Rattus norvegicus: one gene and its partner. The protein of the gene in region 1 binds, or shares a complex with, the protein of each later gene. Links are inferred from orthologs where the notes say so. Each region holds a gene or a part of one and is shown in the gene's direction. Other genes may lie near its edges.

What was found.
Region 2: the proteins of Atp7a (region 1) and Atox1 are in contact, whole or in part, in an NMR structure (PDB 2K1R), measured with the Homo sapiens proteins. The link is inferred for Rattus norvegicus from reciprocal best matches to the Homo sapiens genes ATP7A and ATOX1. Residues at the interface, in NP_000043.4 of Homo sapiens: Cys19, Asn20, Ser21, Cys22, Trp24, Thr25, Gln29, Asp67, Asp68, Met69, Gly70, Phe71, Asp72; in NP_004036.1 of Homo sapiens: Thr11, Cys12, Gly13, Gly14, Cys15, Ala18, Arg21, Val22, Lys25, Lys57, Thr58, Gly59, Lys60.

Annotation. Positions count from the first base shown.
Region 1 is NC_086039.1:75,227,263-75,231,074, forward strand, and holds part of Atp7a (copper-transporting ATPase 1), read left to right. Parts: intron 1-176; coding exon 177-338; intron 339-1,621; coding exon 1,622-1,698; intron 1,699-2,123; coding exon 2,124-2,349; intron 2,350-3,361; coding exon 3,362-3,595; intron 3,596-3,812. UniProt on the Homo sapiens protein: ATP-driven copper (Cu(+)) ion pump that plays an important role in intracellular copper ion homeostasis.
Region 2 is NC_086028.1:40,077,721-40,082,266, reverse strand, and holds the start of Atox1 (copper transport protein ATOX1), read left to right. Parts: upstream 1-1,705; 5' UTR 1,706-1,803; coding exon 1,804-1,809; intron 1,810-4,546. UniProt on the Homo sapiens protein: Binds and deliver cytosolic copper to the copper ATPase proteins. May be important in cellular antioxidant defense.

The DNA of each region.
Region 1 (3,812 bases):
CTGGTGGCACTCCGTCATGAAATCAGAATCCTAATAATAATATCAAAAGGATACTCATTGCACAGATGAAACCTTGTAAGACAATCCTGTGTTATGATAGTCCTTTGAGTTAGAAGTACTAAATTTTTGTAGAAGGAAAGGGATATTTTTAGTAACAAAGGCTTTGTTTTTAACAGGTGAGAGGAATGACGTGTGCCTCCTGTGTCCATAAAATTGAGTCAACGCTCACAAAACACAAAGGGATCTTCTACTGCTCTGTGGCCCTGGCAACGAACAAAGCACATATTAAATATGATCCAGAAATTATTGGTCCCAGAGATATTATCCATACCATTGGAGTAAGTCTTGATTTTGTTTTTCTGTCTTCCCTTTCCAGTGAACCACCTTCTGGAATCACATCTGGTTTACATTAGACAGAGACAATGAAAAGACCCCTTCGACTGTCCACATAAGAACATTAGTGTGTGTCTGCTTTTGTTACCCCCAACCCCCATGGCCTTCATCAGGAAACTTACATGCACATTTGTACAATTAAACCAAGAGCAGACCTGAGCTGGAACTGTCAATCACTTAAAGTATTTAGGAAACGGATATAAAGTTAAATTTGTAAGAAAGACTCTAGCAAATCACTATAAAATTAAAGCATCATGCTGGATGTGCTATGGTTTGTTAAAGCAAATCAGAACAAAAGAAAACAAAAAAAAACACTTTCAAGTTAAATGCAACCCTTTGTGCTAACTTCATCCCATGTACTTCAGTGCATCTTAAGCAGTTATATACATGTATTTTATATTTATATTGTGCATATTTATACTATGCATTGTCAGTGTGCTATGAAATTGACGTTCTGATGATTGACAGTGTATTACAGTTCACTGTATATACTAATATCCTATTATTTGAGGCAGATATACCATCGATATCTGTGGAGCTGGCAGTTCTGAGTATCTAGCCACCTTCAGCAGGTACACAGATGAGTTGCCAAGCTCCAGTTTTAGATTCTCAGAGCAGGGCTGCCATCTTATTCAGAGGTGAAACAACTTGAGAAGCTATCTGTTGAGTTCCATGAGACTTTATGCTGATCACGCTGGCCCTGGAGCTCACGTTTGCTCCTTTCACCACGTTACGCTGCCAACAACTAGAAGATGGCAGCCGTTTCCCTAGCAGTTGAAAACGTGGTGGTTTCAGTTATAGAACTCTCTGAGCCCATGTGCATCTTACTGAGGTGTAGTTCCCTCTTCAGACTTTGCTGTAGTGGGGGAAAGGACTCTGGTTCATGTTTTTTAAGGTGGAACATAAATGAGGGCAAGGCCTTGGACAGTGTATTTACTATAGTGCTAGATTTTTTGCACTGTCGGTGGAAATGGCTATTGCCCTTAAGTGAAATTGCCAGTTTACGAGCAGCAAAATAGACAGTAGCTAGCCTCAATGTGCTCTTAATTTCTTCACAAACTTAGAAACCAGATTAGTCATGGGCAGAAAGCTCTGGACAGCTTCATGCTTCTATTCCCCAGAATGACACTGACTCAGGAATTGAACTGAGTTGTTCTAAGTAATAACAACATGGCTTAGAATATCTCTGCATGGAGTGAATTGACATTTTTCTCATGAATTTCCTTAGAACTTAGGTTTTGAAGCTTCTTTGGTCAAGAAAGATCGATCAGCCAACCACTTAGATCATAAACGAGAAATAAAACAGTAAGTACTTTGGGGTTGTTAATAAAAACATTTCGACTCCTTTTAGAAATTTAACATCCTTTTAGCATGTCAATTTTTACTCTAGTATTTTTTTTAAGATTTACTTTTACTTTTCAATTGGGTGTATGTGTGTATGAGTGTATGACACATGCATGCAGGAGACTGTGGAGGTCAGAAGAGGGCGTTGGATCTGCTGCTACTGGAGTTATGTGTGCTTCTGAACTGATGTGGGTGGAAGGAACTAGACTTGGGTCGTCTGAAGCAGCAGTAGGAGCTCGTAACTGCAGGGACATTGATTGCTCCAGCCTCATGATATCTTCTTACACTGAGTGAGATGGTTTTTCTGTAGCACATAGAATATTTAACTTTTACGTTACTCACTAACTAAAAATGTGTTTTTTCTTTGAAAAATATTTTCATTTAAGATGGAGAGGGTCTTTCCTTGTGAGCCTGTTTTTCTGTATCCCTGTAATGGGACTGATGATCTATATGATGGTTATGGACCACCACCTTGCAACTCTAAACCATAATCAGAACATGAGTAATGAAGAAATGATCAACATGCATTCTTCTATGTTCCTGGAGCGTCAGATCCTGCCGGGACTGTCCATTATGAATTTGTTGTCCCTTTTATTGTGTCTACCTGTACAGGCAAGTGACATTATCAAGTATATTATTTGATCTTCACTAAAGGTTTAAAAGTGATGGCTCAGGGTGTTGTTCAGTGGTAGATTACTTGTCTAATATACTCAGAGCCCTAGGTTCAATCCCAGTACCGCCAAAACCAAAAGCAAAACAAAAGGCAGTAGTACTAACAATTGCTTAATGCCAATTGTACTAATGGAAGACAAGCCTTCCTGTTATACTTCCACCAGAACCCGTGGCTTGTGATTGACTTTCTGAAAAGGGCTACATATCATATATTAAAAAAAAAAAAAACTGGGCTGGAGAGACGGCTCAGTGGTTAAGAGCAGTGACTGCTCTTCCAGAGGTCCTGAGTTCAATTCCCAGCAACCACATGGTGACTCACAACCATCTGTAATGAGATCTGATGCCCTCTTCTGGTGTGTCTGAAGACAGCTACAGTGTACTTATATATAATAAATAAATCTTTTAAAAAAACTTTCCAAAATATCTAAATTATCTTCCTAGTTTACTTGTTTAAGCTAGGATCAAAAAGGAAAATGTGGATCTCTGTGAATTCCAGGCCAGCTTGGTCTATAGAGAGAGTTTCAGGACAGTCAGTGCTACACAAAGAAACCCTGTCTCAAAAAACCAAAAAAGAAAAAGAAAAGAAAACTCGCAACAGCCCTCTGAGGTTTTTTTTTAATGGTATGAAGTATTCATTGCATCATAGATGATGTCCCTTGGTGTCTTGCACAGCAACTTGAAGGCCTTGTGTACATACCTCTGCCAAAGTGCAAACTTGTTCCTACTCAAAATCTCCCTCTTACAGCCAGGTGGAGTGATGCATGCCTATAAGCCCCAAACCTCGTCAAGTTCAAGACCAACCTGGGCTTACATGTGAGGCACTATAACAGTGTTTATGGACTACTTAAAAGGCAAAGGAAGCAAACATTGATACTTTATGCTAAGTTTACTTAGGTTTACATATGAATTTCAGTTTTAGGAAAATTCAGTAATATTCACTTTTCTGTTACAGTTTTGTGGAGGCTGGTACTTTTACATTCAGGCTTACAAAGCGCTGAGGCATAAGACAGCAAATATGGATGTGCTGATTGTGTTGGCAACCACCATTGCATTTGCCTACTCTCTGGTCATTCTTCTGGTTGCAATGTATGAGAGAGCCAAAGTGAACCCTATTACCTTCTTTGATACACCTCCTATGCTGTTTGTGTTTATCGCACTAGGCCGATGGCTGGAACACATAGCGAAGGTAAAGTAAGAAAGGGTGACATTTGTTAAGATAGTGGATCAGTCAAAGACCTCAATGTTTTCTCGACCACTCATTAGAAATATGCATTGATTTATGTAGTTAATCGTTTTACTTTTAGCAATATGTTCAGCAAATTTACCAAGTTTATATCACTGCCAGGGTTAGAGGATACCCATGGTACTTTGTGAGAACCATTTGAGAGGTAGTTATTAGTCAT
Region 2 (4,546 bases), on another chromosome or scaffold:
GGGACATGGCATTATGTAGTCCAGGCTGGCCTTCAACTTTCAGCAATCCCCCTGCTTCCAATTCTTTTTTTTTTTAAGATTGTATTTAGTGTGTGTGTGTGTGTGTGTGTGTGTGTGTGTGTGTGTGTGTACAGTCACTGTCTTCCCCTGCTTCCAATTCTAAATGATGAGATTAACGGTGTTAACTACCATGCCTAGCTATTATGTTCTTACATTTATTTTAGTTCATTTTATTTAAGACAGGTTTTCCTAAGGTTCAGACTGGCCTCCAATTCATGACTTCCCTGGCCTCAGCCTCCAGAGAATAGGGGGAGGGGTTGTTTATAGACACCTGTGTCGCCATCCCCACCCGTTGCATCCAGCTAGTCTTAGATTCTTAGACTTTTCTGTTAACCAACTTCTTATAAGTTCTATATTCAAATTTTAGTATAGTTTCTGACTGAACCCATCCTGACACACAGAACGACAGATTGCCTTCTTAGTTTAGGGAACTTCTCTTAGCCCTCAGCTCAAGGACACAAATGGCTGGTGGAGGAGATAAATCTAATCTGTTGGTCCTTCTGGCACTGTCGAGGAAGCCCGTCTTCTACATGCGTATCAATTACCCATGAAGTAACTTGGTCGACTGGGCTGCCGTAATTGGGTGAGAAAGACACAGTCTCCCAGGTTTTGTTTTGTTTTGTTTTTTCTTAGGATAAGAGTGGTTAGATCTTTTTTGATAAACTTGACACAAGCCTCGGTCATCTTGGAAAAGGACTGTAACTGAAGAATTGGTTTCATCCAATTGGCCTATAGGCAAGTCTGTGTGGGTATTGCTCCCTCCTGAGTGCTGAAATTAAAGGTCACAGCCACCTTGAACTCTGGATCCTCTGGGTCCTTCTCCCTCAGCTTTGGTTTGGTTTGGTTTGGAGACAAGATTTTTTTTTCTTTTTTTTACATAGCCCTGGATGTCCTGGAATTTGCACTGTAGATCAAGCTAGCTTTGAACTCAGAGATCCGCCTGCCTCTGCCTCCAGAGGGCAGGGATTGAAGGCACCACTTGGCCCTCAACTTTTCAAGACCTGGTTTTAGAGTTGTGTACTGATTTACTCTGTGCCTTACACTTACATTTGGTTTTGTTTTGTTTTGTTTTGTTTTAAATATGTTTTTCAGGAAAGGGTCTCAAGAAGTCCAAAATGGCCTTGAACTTTACAGCTGTGGTTAGCCTTGAACCTAGAAACCTTCTACCTCAGCCGCTCTAGTAACTGGGTCAACAGACCTGCCGCCCTAGGCCAGGCAACTGTAGTTTAGGGACTGAGTAATAAGCAAGAGAGACGGTCCCTTTAGGGAAATACCAGATCCCTCATTCCTAGAGCCTTGGCCTCTCATTCCCTAACCTTGTTTCAGAAATGACCCAGTAGAAGGTACAGGTCTGGTCTCCACAAATTAGCCTCCGACTGGCCCCAAAGAGCCTGGCGGGTCCGAAGAGAGGGGGTACCTAGTGAAATAGTCATGTCAGAAAGGGGCGGTAACCAAGTGGAAGCCAGCCCAAGGGAGGAGCCTGGCTGTAACTGGGACCGAAGGGATCGGAACAGTCTTCCTCAAAGGGCGGGGCCTTGCGGAAGCTAGACCCCGGAAAGGGCGGGGACTAAGTAGAGCCCATCCCTAGGGCGGGGCCCGGCCGAAGACTGGGTTGGCCTGAGGGCGTGGCTTCCAGGAGCGCTCTCCGGAAACGCCGCTTTGGTGTTCGGGAGAGGCGTTCTAGTCCTCGCCGCCGCCTGTGCCGCCGCCTGTGCCGCCTGTGCCGCCTGTGCCGCGTCAGTCATGCCGGTGAGTGGCCGTTCGGCCCGCGGGAACCTCTGTCTCCGGCCTGATGCACGGTTTCCGGGCCAGACGCAGCAGTTAGGGCATAGGCCGTAGCCAGAGCTGCGGTCGTTTCTCACTTTACCTTCCGTACCGGTCCTCCAGCTTCGCGACCCTCGGGAAAGCTGCAGAGAGCAATGTTAATGCAGAACATAGGCCTCCGGATCGCTCTAGAGAGTCTTTAAGAGGCAGCCCCATCCTTTTCTGCATGATGGGAAAACTGAGGCAGGGAGGTGGGGCACAGAACCCACATAGGGATGCCGGTACCTGTCTTTTCCACGTGCATGCCCCTGCAGCCGTGCTGATGGGTTTCCAGAGAAGCAGGTCTGTGTTCACCTCTCCAGCCCACTCTGGCGTACTTCCATCTCAGCACTGGACGACACTAACTCGACAGGGTACTTTCTTCCCAACCAGGAGTTCCCAAAGCTCTGAGCAGAGTTTGAGGAACCGAGAGCAGTGCTTATCTTGCCTTTGAATTCACCCCACTCCTTGCTTAGTTAAATGACGACCTTACATGAGGCCTTAACACATTACACAAGAAGAAAAGAAAAACCCCAGTGCTTGTGGGAAAGCATTTTATTGTTGGAAGCTAGGTAGGATCCAACCTGAAGCCAGACCACCTGGGAAGTGCTGGGCAAAACCAGTTGTACGTGTTTGGGGGCAAGGTCTAATCTCAGTTGAGTTCCCGAATGCTGGCTAGAGCTATGGAGTGGGGAGCCTTTTCCTCCCAGTCTCTCAGCCCAGAGGTCTCCCAGGAGTATTCCATGTTTTAGCAGCTTCACTTCTGAGAATGAACCTGAGGCTTCTTCCTGGTACGAATCCTTAAACCTCTCAGGTGTCTTGTGGTTCTTAAACCTCTCAGGTTCTTGTGGTTCTTGCCCTTTGTCTTCAGATCCTAGCTGCACAAAGCACAAACAAAAAACTTAATAAAGTCCATCCTACCAGGCACGTTTGTCTAGTCTGCCCTGCCAAGTGACAGACTCCTTGATGAACTTAGGATGCCAGAGTGGAAGCTGCCAGGCTCTTGGGGGGGGGGGGGCAGCAGTGAAGAAAGAAAAAAGCTTGAGGACCTCTCCATTCTGTGTCTGCCTCTGGGGATGCAGGATTTAATGGGAGACAAATGGGCACCTCATCAAGCCAACTGCTAAATGCCGGGAAGATGTTGGTCAAGTGCTGCCTCCAATTTAGCCAGGGAAATAAGTCTTACCCAAGACGACTTGTAGACCAAAGCTTAACCCAGAAACCTGAAAGTCTGCCCTTGGTTGCCAACTGGGCAGCCTCTGACAAGTTGTTCTGTCTCTGAGTCTTTATCTCCTCATCTGTAAAATAGGGGCTGAAAACAGATCTTTTAGGACTAAGGTTGGTATTAATTAGAATTAAATCATCAAATGCGTACACAGCCAGTGATCCATCTGTCCTGAAGGAGTAGTGACTCATGTTGATGTAGGTCAAGTGGGGTAGAATTGAGTAGTCAGGCTTCTACCTCATTTTAACCTGGACCTCACTGGTTAAAAGTTCAAGTTTTGTGTCCTCTCTCCAACCTAGGACCTACTACTCATGAGGTGTGTCTCCCTGGTCAGTACTTAATCCCAGAGCTTCAGCTTTCTCCTCTCAGAAAGAAGAATTAGTTTCCTGGCTTGTGGAATTATTGTAGCGATTAAAGGAGACAGTGTAACAAGGTGTTTAGAAGAAGGTCCAGCACATCAGAGATGCGCAGATACTAGTAATCAGGAATCCAGACACCAGTGTTTAAAGACTCAGTATCCTCTAGAGGAACAGTGTCATTCTCCTCTTCTTCCTCCTCCTCCCCCTTCTTTTCCCCCTCCATTCCTACTCTTCCAGGTCTAGAGTCTGTAAAAGAATCATACTACCTACTGGCTTTCTGAACTAATAAATACAATATGTAGTACAACATTAATATACATTATACTTAAGAGGATTCATTTTGTTTGTTATCATTACAGAGCATCACTGTAGCCCAGGCTGGCTATGAATGAATACGTAGCCCAGGATGATTCTTAAACTCAGAGCAATCTTCCTGCCTTAGCTTCTCAAGGGTTGGGATTATAGAAGTGAGCGGCCACACCTAGCTTAAAAGTTTTGTTTTGTGGTGCTAGGTGTTGGGCCCAGGGCCTGTATGTGCTCTGCCACTGACCCTCAAACTCAGACCCTAAAGGATCCTTTTGTAAGGGGTCTAGTGGCACTAGGGAGACACCCAGAAGGTGGAGCAGGTCTAGGGATACTCTTGTGAACACTGGATCACCCTGTCCCTTAGGCCAGCTTTCCGTCATCATGTTTAGTTGCACAATTTGTAGGCAGAGATAGGGAGCTCTGAGTTGGAATTTTGGCCTCCTAGGGCGGATCCCTGGCCTCTGACCTCTGTACTGTGAAAGAAGTCCTTTCTTGCTGTGGTCCTCAGTTTGGAGCTCAGGTAACCATTGACTTTAGCTCCTTGAGCAAAATTATCCTCTGAAATCCCCTTTCAGAGCTTCTTCTGAGAGTAGGTTGTGGGAGCTGGACACCTGGCTGTGCTGAGAGTTGCCTGGAGCAAAGAAAGCCTCTCTTCCCTAGGACCCTTGCACACATGACCTCACCACCATAGTGGCTCCTGAGCATAAGGAAACGAATGCTTTTCTTTTCAAACTAGAAAAATGCTGCAGAAAGGGGACCTGAGGGTTGCAGGATGGGTCAGCTGGTAAAGATC